Linked DNA regions of Arabidopsis thaliana. The protein of the gene in region 2 interacts with the protein of the main gene of each other region in a pairwise test. Each region holds a gene or a part of one and is shown on either strand. Other genes may lie near its edges. The genes, in order: BBX29, BBX12 and LBD16.

The links.
Region 1: the proteins of BBX12 (region 2) and BBX29 interact in a two-hybrid assay, tested with the Arabidopsis thaliana proteins (one large-scale study listed by BioGRID).
Region 3: the proteins of BBX12 (region 2) and LBD16 interact in a two-hybrid assay, tested with the Arabidopsis thaliana proteins (one large-scale study listed by BioGRID).

What each region holds. Positions count from the first base shown.
Region 1 is NC_003076.8:22,113,690-22,117,331, forward strand, and holds BBX29 (B-box type zinc finger family protein), read right to left. Parts: upstream 1,851-3,642; 5' UTR 1,627-1,850; coding exon 1,132-1,626; intron 1,048-1,131; coding exon 895-1,047; 3' UTR 615-894; downstream 1-614.
Region 2 is NC_003071.7:14,187,353-14,191,951, forward strand, and holds BBX12 (B-box type zinc finger protein with CCT domain-containing protein), read right to left. Parts: upstream 2,903-4,599; 5' UTR 2,695-2,902; coding exon 1,978-2,694; intron 1,749-1,977; coding exon 1,599-1,748; intron 1,236-1,598; coding exon 988-1,235; intron 901-987; coding exon 807-900; 3' UTR 571-806; coding exon of another isoform or gene 568-570; 3' UTR 562-567; downstream 1-561. Other genes in the region: AT2G33490 (hydroxyproline-rich glycoprotein family protein), read left to right, coding at 1-107, 303-314.
Region 3 is NC_003071.7:17,661,617-17,665,953, forward strand, and holds LBD16 (lateral organ boundaries-domain 16), read left to right. Parts: upstream 1-1,736; 5' UTR 1,737-2,051; coding exon 2,052-2,354; intron 2,355-3,102; coding exon 3,103-3,537; 3' UTR 3,538-3,721; downstream 3,722-4,337. UniProt on the Arabidopsis thaliana protein: Transcriptional activator. Involved in lateral root formation. Regulated by the transcriptional activators ARF7 and ARF19. Functions in the initiation and emergence of lateral roots, in conjunction with LBD18, downstream of ARF7 and ARF19.

The DNA.
Region 1 (3,642 bases), on a different chromosome or scaffold from region 2:
ACCACATGTTTTCACTACTTTCATTCAATTTAAATAAATAAAATATCTGGTAGACATTCGCCGTCCAATTCTCTAACTACCATGAATTGAATTACTGTATACTGTATTTATCATATACGATCAAGAAACCAAAAACTTGGATCTTCTCATTTCTCACAAAACAAATAGATTCAAAATTAGAAATAAAACCAATTTATTTAGTTACATATAAATCATGAGAGCATCATTTTTTATTTTTTTGGAGCTTCGAACACGGTTTAGATACAAAAGACACGATGGGTTCAAAGCGTTTGACAAATAAATTTTTTTTAAAAAAACTTTAAAGGAGGACCCCATGGTACTAAATATCTTCTTTTTTCTAAGTCTTGACAACTTTTTTGTTTGATTCTTTTTAGTGGTCGTAGTTACAATTTACAAAGCTAACGGACATTCATACGTTATGTACTCTTCAGTTGTAACATCACAATGACACAGACACTTCTAGTTCTGGGAAGGCAAATAAAATTGACATCATAATAAATTTTGGTTTTGGCTGGTAATCCTTCTCACGTTATAAATTTATAATAATATCTCTTGTTTCACTAATTAATTTTCTTAATCATTTTCGTTAAAAAATAAATAAATAGAAAACAGCTTCATTTTCTTAATCATTTTCTGAACAACTTTGCTTCATTTTATTTTTTATGTTATATGATTTTATACTAGACATATGAACATATATATTCTAGGTAACACAGAAAAAAAAACACAAAAAAAAATCATTATATTGAAATGTTTTTAAACTAACTCAACTCACTAAAAGTATTGTTGTTAGTAAATGAACGATGAGGATTAATCTAATCAACCAAACAAAAGAATCATCAACGGCTACAATCTCTACTTTCCTTGGCGATTTCAATAAAACGAAGACGACGATGATGTATCACATCCCTCTGCTTTTCTCCTCCCTCCGTGTAATTTCACGATTGAGCTATTCATCACAACAGTTGATCTTGACAAACCTTCGTCTCTCGATAATCTTTTCAATGGTCTAGATTGGTTCTCCTCCTGCATTTCAAAAAGAATTGTTTCAGATTTCTTAATCATTTCCTAATAATAAAAGAAGATAAAGAAAAAGATTCATATTCATACATCGGAGAGGTTAAGATCCAAATCAAGTCTCGTCCTTTTCACCACCTGATCTCCTTCACCACTACTAACCGAAGACGACGAACTCACCACCGGAAGTTCTTGCTCCACCGCAGCCGGAACAACCTGATTCTCCACTTCTTCTTCTTCTTCATCCTCATCGCTTTCCTCATCATAAGACTCAGCTCCGTCGTTACAACCAATGATCTCTTCTTCTTGGTTAAGATTCTGATCCCTCCCGGCGAGGGAGCTGTTGTTATTCTTCTTACGAGCTAAACAAGACTCACAGATAGAAACAGTTGGGCCAAGATTCAGCCCAGAAGCTTTCCAAGGCGTGTGTGACTGACACGCGCTACATAGAAGACAACGCATGTGTTTCGCCACCAGAAAATTAGCTCCGTGAACTTTACCGTCACAATCCCAACATAAACTCGCTTGATCTGACTCACAATACATTCTCGCTACACCACAACATAACTCGCACTTCTTCTTCCCCATCTCTAGATATTATCTCGCACAACCACAACCACAAGCTCTCTCTCTATGTCTATCTCTGTCTCTAGATGTTTGTGTGTTATAAATATTCTTGGTAAGGTCTTTTGCTTCTCTCTCTTCTCTCGTTTCTTCTGCGGACACGAATAAGAGACAGCGTAATAGAGAATTGTAAAATGAGAATTTCGTGGCGACTTTTATGTGATTTAATTCTTTTCGAGGATATTGTCGTCTTTTTGATATTAACGAAACGATTTTTCACGTAATTTTTTAATGAAATGCAAAGAAGCTTCCTAATTTTAAATTAGAATAAGATTAAAGGATTCGTTCAAACTTTAATTTTTATGGTGGATAATTTGTGGATAATTTTGTATTAGTAGTTCTAAATCTGTGTTTGAAATTGATTAAGGTTTCCGCGGCTGAGTATTATTCTCGAATTCTTAAATTTAGGAGAGATGATAATAATAATAAAAATTAAAGGAAATGTTGTTATTTACTTGGTCCTGAAACCATGTACTGGGACAAGGCTCTCCTATGGGCGAAGTCTTACGTGTCGAGATATTATTCGTTTTATGTTTCATCAGATATTTTTATGCGGTTAGATTTTTAGTTAATGACGTGGCGAGATATTAGCCTCGTATAGAGGAGAGGGAAGATTCTGAGTTATCCTACGTGGACGAATCAGGTTCTGTAATAGACTTAGAACCACGTGATCCGCACCTGGGATTTGTCTGGTCCTCAATACACGTCTAATGGGTCCACTCTTTTTTCTTTCATTTTTTACTTTTTTCAGTATTCCTCTCTCGTTCCGGTCCAAGCGTTTTGTTTTCGAAAATGAAAAGTGAATTAAATATCATTTATATCGTTGGTATTACGGTAGGATAATAATGATGATCGGATTTTTAATATCGCATTTTGGGTTCGGAAATTTTGGTGTCCATGAATCAACATGGTTACTAGGAGAAGAACCTAATTTTATGATTTTATCAACCACTTTTAGCGTTCCATATTTTACATAATTCGAGTTAAATGTCTTTTTCTCTAAATAAAAATAAATAAATAAATCCAACCACTAATTTTACATTTTTACTTCACATCATTGGCAATTCGATATATTACTTGTTATTTGCTAATGGTAATTAAAAAGAATATAGAATATATATTTGAAAAATTATTAAACCTGGATTAAAAAAATGAAAGGTATTACGAATTTTTATCTAAAAAACAGGATAGATAGATAGCTAAGAAGCTTGTAGTTAGACAAATATTTTTTGTCATTTCAAATGTTTACAGTTGTGAGTTTTTAAAAGAAAATCACAACGATTTTTGTATGATAGAGTTTGATCTGTGGTTTTGATCCATAGAACAAACTAATTCATCTATGATCAAAGATGAATTAATTTGATTATTTGTATTCATTTGATCAAAGGAATTAATTTGTATCACGAAATCGAGATTAAGACTAGCAAAGATGGATTGAAAGTCATTTTAGGATAACAAATAATACGTAAAATATATATAAGAACAAAAAAAATGGTAAAGTTGGGCCTACGTAACATGCTTGAGAAATTTTTACGTGGCGAAGATTAGTGGTGTAAAGGGTGAAGTGTGAATTGTGAAGAATCAAAGGAACACGAGATGTCTTCATTTGAGAGCCACATGCATTAAAAAAGCGCTGATGAGTGGAGGTGTTTTGAGTTTTATGGTTTTTTGTTTTTTTACTTTTAAATGTTTGTGGATGACAACTTTAGAACAACTTAGAAGAAGCCTCGAATCAATACACATCTATCTTACGAATTACTCCTTATTTTTTGTTAGTTCTTTTCCATTTATGTTTTCTTTTGCAAGTTTCTTTAAAGATTTATTAAAAAGAGAAGTGGATTACAAATTTACAATAGAAATTGTTAAATTTGTTCAGTATGGGTGATCAACCCAATTATAATAATTTTAAATTTTTTTGTTGATAAAAATACATATTATTTACATTTTCAACATAAATTCTATCAAATTATATGATTTATA
Region 2 (4,599 bases):
AAAAGTTAGGCACTCCCTCGCCTCCTTTAACCCCAATGTCATTGATCCATCCACCGCCACAGGCTCTTCCCGAACGTGCAGACCACCTAATGATGTCCAAACAAGAGGTAAACCATTAATTTTACTTCTTTTCACTGTCTATTAGTTTTTTGTGTGGTTTAGAGTAAAAAAGTCATCATGTGTGTCACGTTTAAGTAGATGTGGGCAATCCGATTTTTGGTTCCCTTCATGTGTTCCGCAAAGTTCTGCTTAAGTGTAAAATCTAGAATTGCTGATATACGTTCTAATTGGTGAATTTGCAGAGGAGGATTTAAGATGTAAGGTGTAAGACGTTTGTAGCTGCCTAAAAACTGTAGGAGGAAGGCATTCCCTATAGTTGCAGATATATGTAAATATCCTCCAATTTTTAGTCTCATGGATGATCTTAGTTGTATATTACATATAGTAGTTGATCCCTTTTGAGAATGATGACAAAAATAGAGGCAAACAGAGTTAATAATAATTGCCTGAGGAATTTTGGTTTTTCTACTATCACTCAACGAAGCTTTTTTTTTTTTTTTTGTCCAGTGATGTGACATGTTTTACGTCCGAGATTTACGGGTTTAACTTCTGTGGAGTCTGTCTTCTTTTGATTGGGTTAAGAAACTTTGCTTCTAGAAGGTTAAACGTAAAAATTACAAAAATCTGGCCACACATTATGCAGCTGAAGATCGATCATTTACATTTACAAGGTAGTTGAAAGTAGAAAAAACAAAAAAAGTTCCTAACTTAGGATCTCAAATGTAAAACCTAACGTGGAGAGACATCTAAGGATCTGTAGCTTTCACAAATCTGCCCTTAACACGCAACCTGGTCTCGGCTCTCGCCTTCCTCGTTTCATATCTTATGGTCTTATCATATCTGCTGAAGCAATTACAAATTAGCGATTTCGAAAGACAATCAACTTACAAAAGGGAAACTAAAAGAAAAAATGGAGAACATCATTACCTCCGCGTTTTCTTCTTTTCCTTGTACCGCTGCATAGCATTATCTCTGTTCTGTGCCATCTGCTCTAGATCAGCATTCGTTACCGCCACCAATCTTGTGGCTCTATTACTAGTAATAGCAATATGTTCCGTGCAATGCAAGCCACAGGAGTCGTTAGAACTTTTATGCGAGTGAATGGCAGCAGGAATATTGTTGCTCTTAGATGTTTCCTGTCCCTTGGTAGAAGTTGAGTGGACGGAATCCTCCTGCTACATTCTACTTATAAGTATCACAGTTCACCGACAAAGATATACCAAAAATAGTAGTTTGACTTATCAATTATGATATAAATACATCAGGTTTCATTCATTCCAAGATGTTCTAACCAATAGAAATAAACCCATGAGATGTAGCTACTACCAGACCAGTATATCAGTCACCAACTTAAGCTATATATGAGGGAATATTCAAATGTTTAAGGTATGGAGTGTTTTGGGATTGAATTTAGGGATCGGGGGAGTTTATTGTCTATAGAACAAACTCTAATTACGTTCTGCAATGTGCGTTGTGTTTGTCAATTTGTGAGATAAATAAAATGGTTTACAATTCCAAACCTAATAACAATGTAATACCTGGTAACTCTCTTTGAAAGCATTCATATTGGTGGTTCGGGTATCGTTCTTGAGATGAGTAACGTTGTTGAATGTGAAAGTAGAGCCTTTAGTTTCGACTGGACTAGGTTCATCAGGGTTCCTCGACTGTCCCAAGTTAAAATCCCATATCTGCAACAACGTATATTCCACTGTGAACCCCAGGCCATAAAACAGAGTCTTATCTCTAATTAGGACAACCAAGAAAGAATAATCAACGTTCCGACAGGTAACTTAACAGATTTGGAGACCTAAAGATCCAACTGAAGTTACTGTAACATGTTCTAAGCACAAAAGCAAGAACACATGACCAAACTTAAAACCCTAAAATCAATTGCCAGAGAGAGATAGAGAAATGGACCTGAGTGTTCTGGCCAGTGCTATGATTAGTAGCATTCCATTGCATACCATTACCACAAAGACTTTGAGACATAAGCAAAGAAGTAAACGACGTCGTCGGAGATGGCTGAGAAATGCTTCCTCCGCCATTGATTCCCTCCGGAACCATAATCTCTCCTTCGCCTTCAACGAAGCCTCTCTTCAGTAACTCAAGCTGTTCAAACACTACCTGCTTAGACCTCCCAAAGCTAAAGCTTTGCTTTTTGCAAGACACATCATAAGGAACAATCAGTTCTTGAACGATGTTAGATCCAGAACCCCACGAATCCAACCCCATCCCAAAATTCTTAGTCAATTCGTCTTCGTCATCTTCTTTCTTCTTACCCTTTAAATCGATTCCCCACACAGCAGCAAGCTCCAAAACCGAAGGACAACCTGAAAACCCTTCCACGGCGGAGCGTTCATGCGTCGCGGAGGAGGAACAGCTTCCGTGAACATCCCAATCACACTCCTGACACAATACGAGATTATCTGTGAAGCAACGTACGGACACCGGCTCTTTGCTACAGTTATCACAGATCTGAGAACGAACATGCTTCCTCGAGAGAAGGTTCGCCGAGTGCACGTGCTGGTCACAAGGCAAACAAAGCTTCGCCGTATCGGCTCTACAAAACAGAACCGCCGTTCTCTCGCCGCAAAATTCACACGCCACCACACTCTCTGTAGTAGAAGTACCCATTTTGTGTTTAAGATGGTACCTTCACAATCCCTTAAAATCTCGCTGATTTTATACAGTGGAGAATAAGATCAAGATGACGAAAGGTGATGAAGTGATCGATGGAAGAAGAAGAAGATGACATAGACATAATCTCAAAGTCTCAAGCTTTCGGTTTTGCAGTGAAAGGAGAAGAAGAAGATGTCATTAATTGAAAATATCTAACTGTTGTACCGGAAATAAAGTTGCATTTACATAGGTAATTAATTACTTGAGAAATAATTGGCTGCATTACAGTGTATGGATTTAGGCACATTAATTGGCTGCCTTTCTTTCAGATCCACGCACAAGGATTTTAGCCCATGTTTCTGCTAAGCCCAATTCTAAGCCCATTATTTGGATGGGACGTTAGGATGTTAACGACATGATCGATAAGGAGAATATTTCACATGTACGAAGTTTACTAACTCGTAAATCGTTCCAGATGATCATTATTTGGCAATTTAGAAAACAAATAAGTCAATATATATATACTAGGAACATATCCTAAATCCAGCCATGAATTCACACCAAGTATCCAAATATCCAAAAATCTTGCAAGTTCTGTTGTAGCACATCTTGAAACATTGTGCAATGTCATTTTGAATGTCAATAACAACATTCTATTTTTGACATTGGTATCTTGGTAACGAGATTGCTTTCTTGGTCTCTTTTAGAAAGGTTATTATCTTTTAGTCGAATATCAATAACATATCTCTAAGAATTGTCCAAAACTCAAGATGTTTGTCCATAGGTTTGGAATATAGTAAACGTTGGAAATAAATTACTGATTTCCACTTTTCAATCGGATGAGGATGTGTTTTTTACCTTTTACATCCATCTTTGATTCATCTCTTAAAGCCATGTTTTCTCTCATTGATTCATCAAGCTCAGCGAACATAATTTTCCTCCCACACATGTGTCGCTTTCACCTATGTGACAAATCATTATTGGTTGTGTACTTGTGTTGTTATATGAATAGAAGATGAATGGTGTTACAATCATTGCCCATTATGTGGTGCGAGAAACAAAACATCCAACCTTTGCTATTTTCCTATGCCCTAAGGTTTTTTCACATGTTACTTAGCTATTATGTGTTTCAAACTCACTTGGAATGGATATTCTATATTCTTACTTTTACGAATTTTGATTCTTTATTATGTAGAAAACCTACAGAAAATCACGTTGTAAATTCGGTTTCGAAACCATAAAGGACTTCAATATTCAACTATTCTTTAACAAGTGAACTTTTATCATCTATATCACTTAAATCTTTATTCTCTATATCACTTGAATTCATAATAGAGAAACGAAAATTTAACTAAACACAACCTTTAAAGAACCCTTAAAAAGTAATTAAAAAAGAAGGAAAGTGAATTATACTAAACAAAAGATTATGTTAAAATTCGGATTCTTAAAAATCTTCTAGGGAAAAAAAAGCAAAATGGAATATGGATTCGATAAGGAAGGAAGGAGAGGAGACCCACACACAAGAACAGAGTGACAGACACAATTTGGCGTCTCTTTCGATCTGAAACATCTCTGTCTCTCCTCAGAGATTCCCTTCTTAGGTCCCATTGTCTCTCTTTCTGTATATTACAACTCTTGCAAACCTTTCTACCACCAAGATAAAATTATTATTTGGTAAAAAGCAATATCTTTAATTTTCTAGGAAAAAAGAAAGAAAGAACAACACTGGATTGAAGTGGTCGTCGCTTTCTCTTTCTACACTTCCAACAGATTCCCTTTTGCACTTCTCTCTTTCACTCTTTTCACTATTTTTGTTTTATCATTATTTTGTTTACGGAAACGTCATTTTCCTCCAGACAATACCTTTATTCCCTATATATATAATGGTATGGTGTAAAAATGTTATTGCCACTGTATATA
Region 3 (4,337 bases), 3.5 Mb from region 2:
CAGCCGATATTGATTTGAATTTATCTTTTTTTTTTTCTGGAACATCCAATAAAATTAAAACGATTAGAAAATGGCTTAGCATGGTTCATGCACATAAATGAAATACATAAAAATGATTTTATTTCACTAAATATAATTCAGCTAACTCATTTGCAAGTTTGATAACATGACTGTAGTTGAGAAAAAAAATGAAACTATAGTTAATTTGGTCTTGTTTCTCAAATTTTCGGTTGCTTATTTGATTTTTTTTTATTTACATGATAACAAACTTACCAACTATAACCATATCCGAGTAACTTTTAAAGTACACGAGCACTAAGTGAAGAAAGTCACATGCGTACACTAATCCTAATTGAATCACACGATTTCTCTCGTGTGCAAAATCCGTAAGTACATAATATTAATACTTTTTTTTGTAACATATTAAATTCTAATAATCTCCTCAGGTGATTTGAATCCTAGTCTGTACCAGCTACATACTCACTCCATGTAACCAAATATTCCTAAGCCACCTAAGCAGATCCAGCACGATCAATCAATATTACGAGCTTTAGTGTTTGTTTTGTCATAAAGGGAGTTTAATTAGCTTATAATTACGCATTTAACAATTATACTTACATAAATGGGCTTCAAATACATTCATGGCATTAGCATTTGTCGGTACATCTTTACCGGCATTTGCCGGTTCATCCGGTCCCCACACTTCACGACAAACAGCAGCAGTTCCGATGTCCGGCGTTCGGCGGAAGAACTTATAAAATAACTTTTCTAAAATTAAAATAAAAATAAAGAATGAATGAAAGAAGATAGACAAAATTGATTATTAATTGAGTTTGCTTTGAAGCTCCAAGAACCAAACGTATCCGGGTATAAAATAATACGAGATAAAGTGATAGAAGACCTAAGACTACCTCATTACTAAAAATATGGATATTTTTCTATACAAATCCACGAATGAAAAGAAAAAGAAGTTGGACTAATTAAATTGAAATCCAATAATTGTAAATATAATATTAAAACCCAATAAATTAGAAGTCTCATGTTGCAGTCTCCATTATTGATTGTCTCCTTAGAATCCAACATGTGACCCTCCATTGTCTACCATTCACACCCTTTGGCTCACTCGATAAATTTGGACATTAATTGCATTCATTTTATTTGTAAGAACCAGAATCTCAGTAGATGTTATTTGTGTTGAGTAAACTGTTGTTATTTATAGACTAGGCTATTCTTCGTATACACTTTGATACTGATTTTTAGTTCATCATCTATCTACCGACTAAATATAGTGTTTCTATGTGGCTTCTCCTCAAATGTCAAATTTATTTCTTTAATGTTGTTTGAGTTTCAAACTTGCAAAGTGCAAACCAATTTTGGTTGTTATACTAAAACCACACATATAATTAAAGACACCCACTATAGCATAAAATTCGTCGTGTAAGCAATTTTACTATAGTCTAAACTCCATAAAAGGACGTCGAAAAATATTGTGATATTGGAATTATAGTGTCAGTTTGTTTTTCTTTGGGCAAATGGATTGTAGTTTCATTATATATTACAATTTATAAACGAAACGATAAGTATGGCTCATACTTTAGTGATGGAGAATTAAAGTATTTTATATTCAGAGATGACACAATATGGTAGACCAAAAATAACTAATTAAAATAGTATCATATTAGATATTTATATGTGATTGTAAATTTGATCATTGAGTGAACATTTTAAATTAGTATGCCCAAGAAAGAAAAGAAAAAAAAAAAACTCTTTCTCTCTCATGATAATGTTCCTTTTATAAAATCCACCCAAAGACACCAAACACTTCTCCATCATCATTTCATTTCTTGTTCTTTTTCCACCATCACCATTTCCTAGTTCGCTCGTGCACATCTCCGACGATCCCAATTCTAAAATCATCACTTCTTCCAATCTTTTCAACATCTCTTCAAAATATCCAGTCAACAAAAAAAAAAGTACTTAAAACAAGGAAACCCCTTCTTTCTTTTTGTACATATAACATAAAAATCATCACTTTTTTGTTCGTTTCGCCGATGGCATCTTCCGGTAACGGTACAACGGCGGGGACAGGTTCACCATGCGGTGCATGCAAGTTCTTGAGGAGGAAGTGCGCATCCGATTGTATATTTGCACCGTACTTCTCATCGGAGCAAGGAGCAGCAAGATTCGCAGCTATTCACAAGGTGTTTGGAGCAAGCAACGTTTCTAAGCTCTTGCTTAATGTTCCAATCCATGATCGATGTGAAGCTGTCGTCACCATCGCCTACGAAGCTCAGGCTCGTCTTCATGACCCTGTTTATGGATGTGTCTCTCATATCTTTGCCCTCCAACAACAGGTAATTGACCGAGTAAATCGGTAGTGCTCCATCGGTCTTTATAGACTTTTTGTTTAGTTACTAACGGAATTTATGTGGTGGTTGACTCGTATGATATTTCCTGCATGAGATCGAATGTTCTCTGAATCTTGATGAATTAGCTAGGAACAACTTCTTTTCCCATCATTTCTTTTGTTTTCACATTAGGGCTTTTCTTCCTTTTTGCTTTGCCTAATTTTTTTTTAAAATTAAAGTTTGAGATTTTAATAATTTAGTTTTAAGAAAACGTTACAACGATAAATAATCAGTTTTCCAATAAATATTTGTCATGATGTTTTCATTTCTTATGTTTGTCATTTTCGATTCGCCAAAATCTTGAGTAAACGACACTGTACATGTTCTTTCCGTTTCATGAAAATTGATGTTTTGAATATTTTTTGCATATTAATGAAACGCTTACAAAAGTAAACATATTTATACTGATGCATTTACTATTCTAGGAATATGAAATTATATATGTGCTAACATTTAGATATACCAAATAGACTTACATAAAAACATTTCATTTTCTTTTGGCACAAAACATCAATTTCAATGAAGAAAAATAGACTATAAAACATACATATTCACAATAAACGAAGAAGCCTTTACTAATTCGTCTACATATGATCTTACAACTTTTTTTTTTCTTTTTAGTAAATGATCTTACAACTTATGAATAGAATTGGAATCAATCTTGTTTAACTTAGCGTTTGATGCGTTTATATAGGTGGCTTTCTTGCAATCACAAGTCATGCAAATGAAGGCACAGATAGCTGGCCACCAGACGTCAGCCGCCGGAGATCTAAGACACAGCTCGGAAAGTACCAACCAGTTTATGACGTGGCAACAAACTAGTGTCTCTCCGATCGGTAGTGCATACTCAACACCGTATAACCATCATCAACCTTACTACGGTCATGTAAACCCTAACAATCCGGTCTCGCCACAGAGCTCGCTAGAAGAATCTTTCAGCAACACGAGCAGTGACGTCACCACAACAGCCAACGTGCGAGAGACTCATCATCAAACCGGAGGAGGAGTATACGGTCACGATGGAATAGGGTTTCACGAAGGATATCCTAACAAGAAGAGATCAGTGAGTTATTGTAGTAGCGATTTAGGTGAGCTTCAGGCTTTGGCTCTTAGAATGATGAAGAACTAAGATAAGTTGGTAAGTTATGTAGACAGTCAGAGAACAAATGAGATGTTTTTATTCGAAGAAAAAAAAAACAAGACAATAGAACATTCCATGTTCACATGCTATCATCAATAAGATGTCTACTACACATCCATGTTTGCTTTAAGTCACTGGCCATTGATCAATCACTGAAATATTTGACTTGACAGTAATTTTTTTAATCGGTTTAGCTGAACCGATAAATCTGATAATTTGTTTTGGAAAGAATACCAATTGTTGAACGGAGAATTGAAACAGAAATGATCATTTAGTCATGATCGATCAATATTACAAATCTTCTAAAAGAAAAGAAATATTCAACAATCATGGAATTCATATATGGTTTTGTTTAGTTCATATGGCTTTATTTGTTTATCAATATAGATGTTTATATTTGACTAATCTGATATTCACGTATTCAATGCCTTATCATAAGCTTTTTGATTACCCACAACAAAAAAAGAGTTTATAAGTAACTAATCGAGGTCACTCGACATTATATATAAATCCATATTCGATGGATAATATAAAACCAAGCAAAGAAAGAAGTAATGTCACGCGAGTAAAGAGAAAATAATATGTAGGATATATAAATTTTATAGGTTAGTAATAAAAATGCTTCTGTGTAATGTAGTAGACTGAGCTCCATCACCTTGTATGACTTTGTTTAAGGATTCACTAAATTTCCTTTCCTAATAATTGTAGACGTGTGCGGCGCGCATCCAAGGGGTTGACTTTATTCACAAGACATTAAAATCATTAAATTTTTTAATTTTAATTGGTAT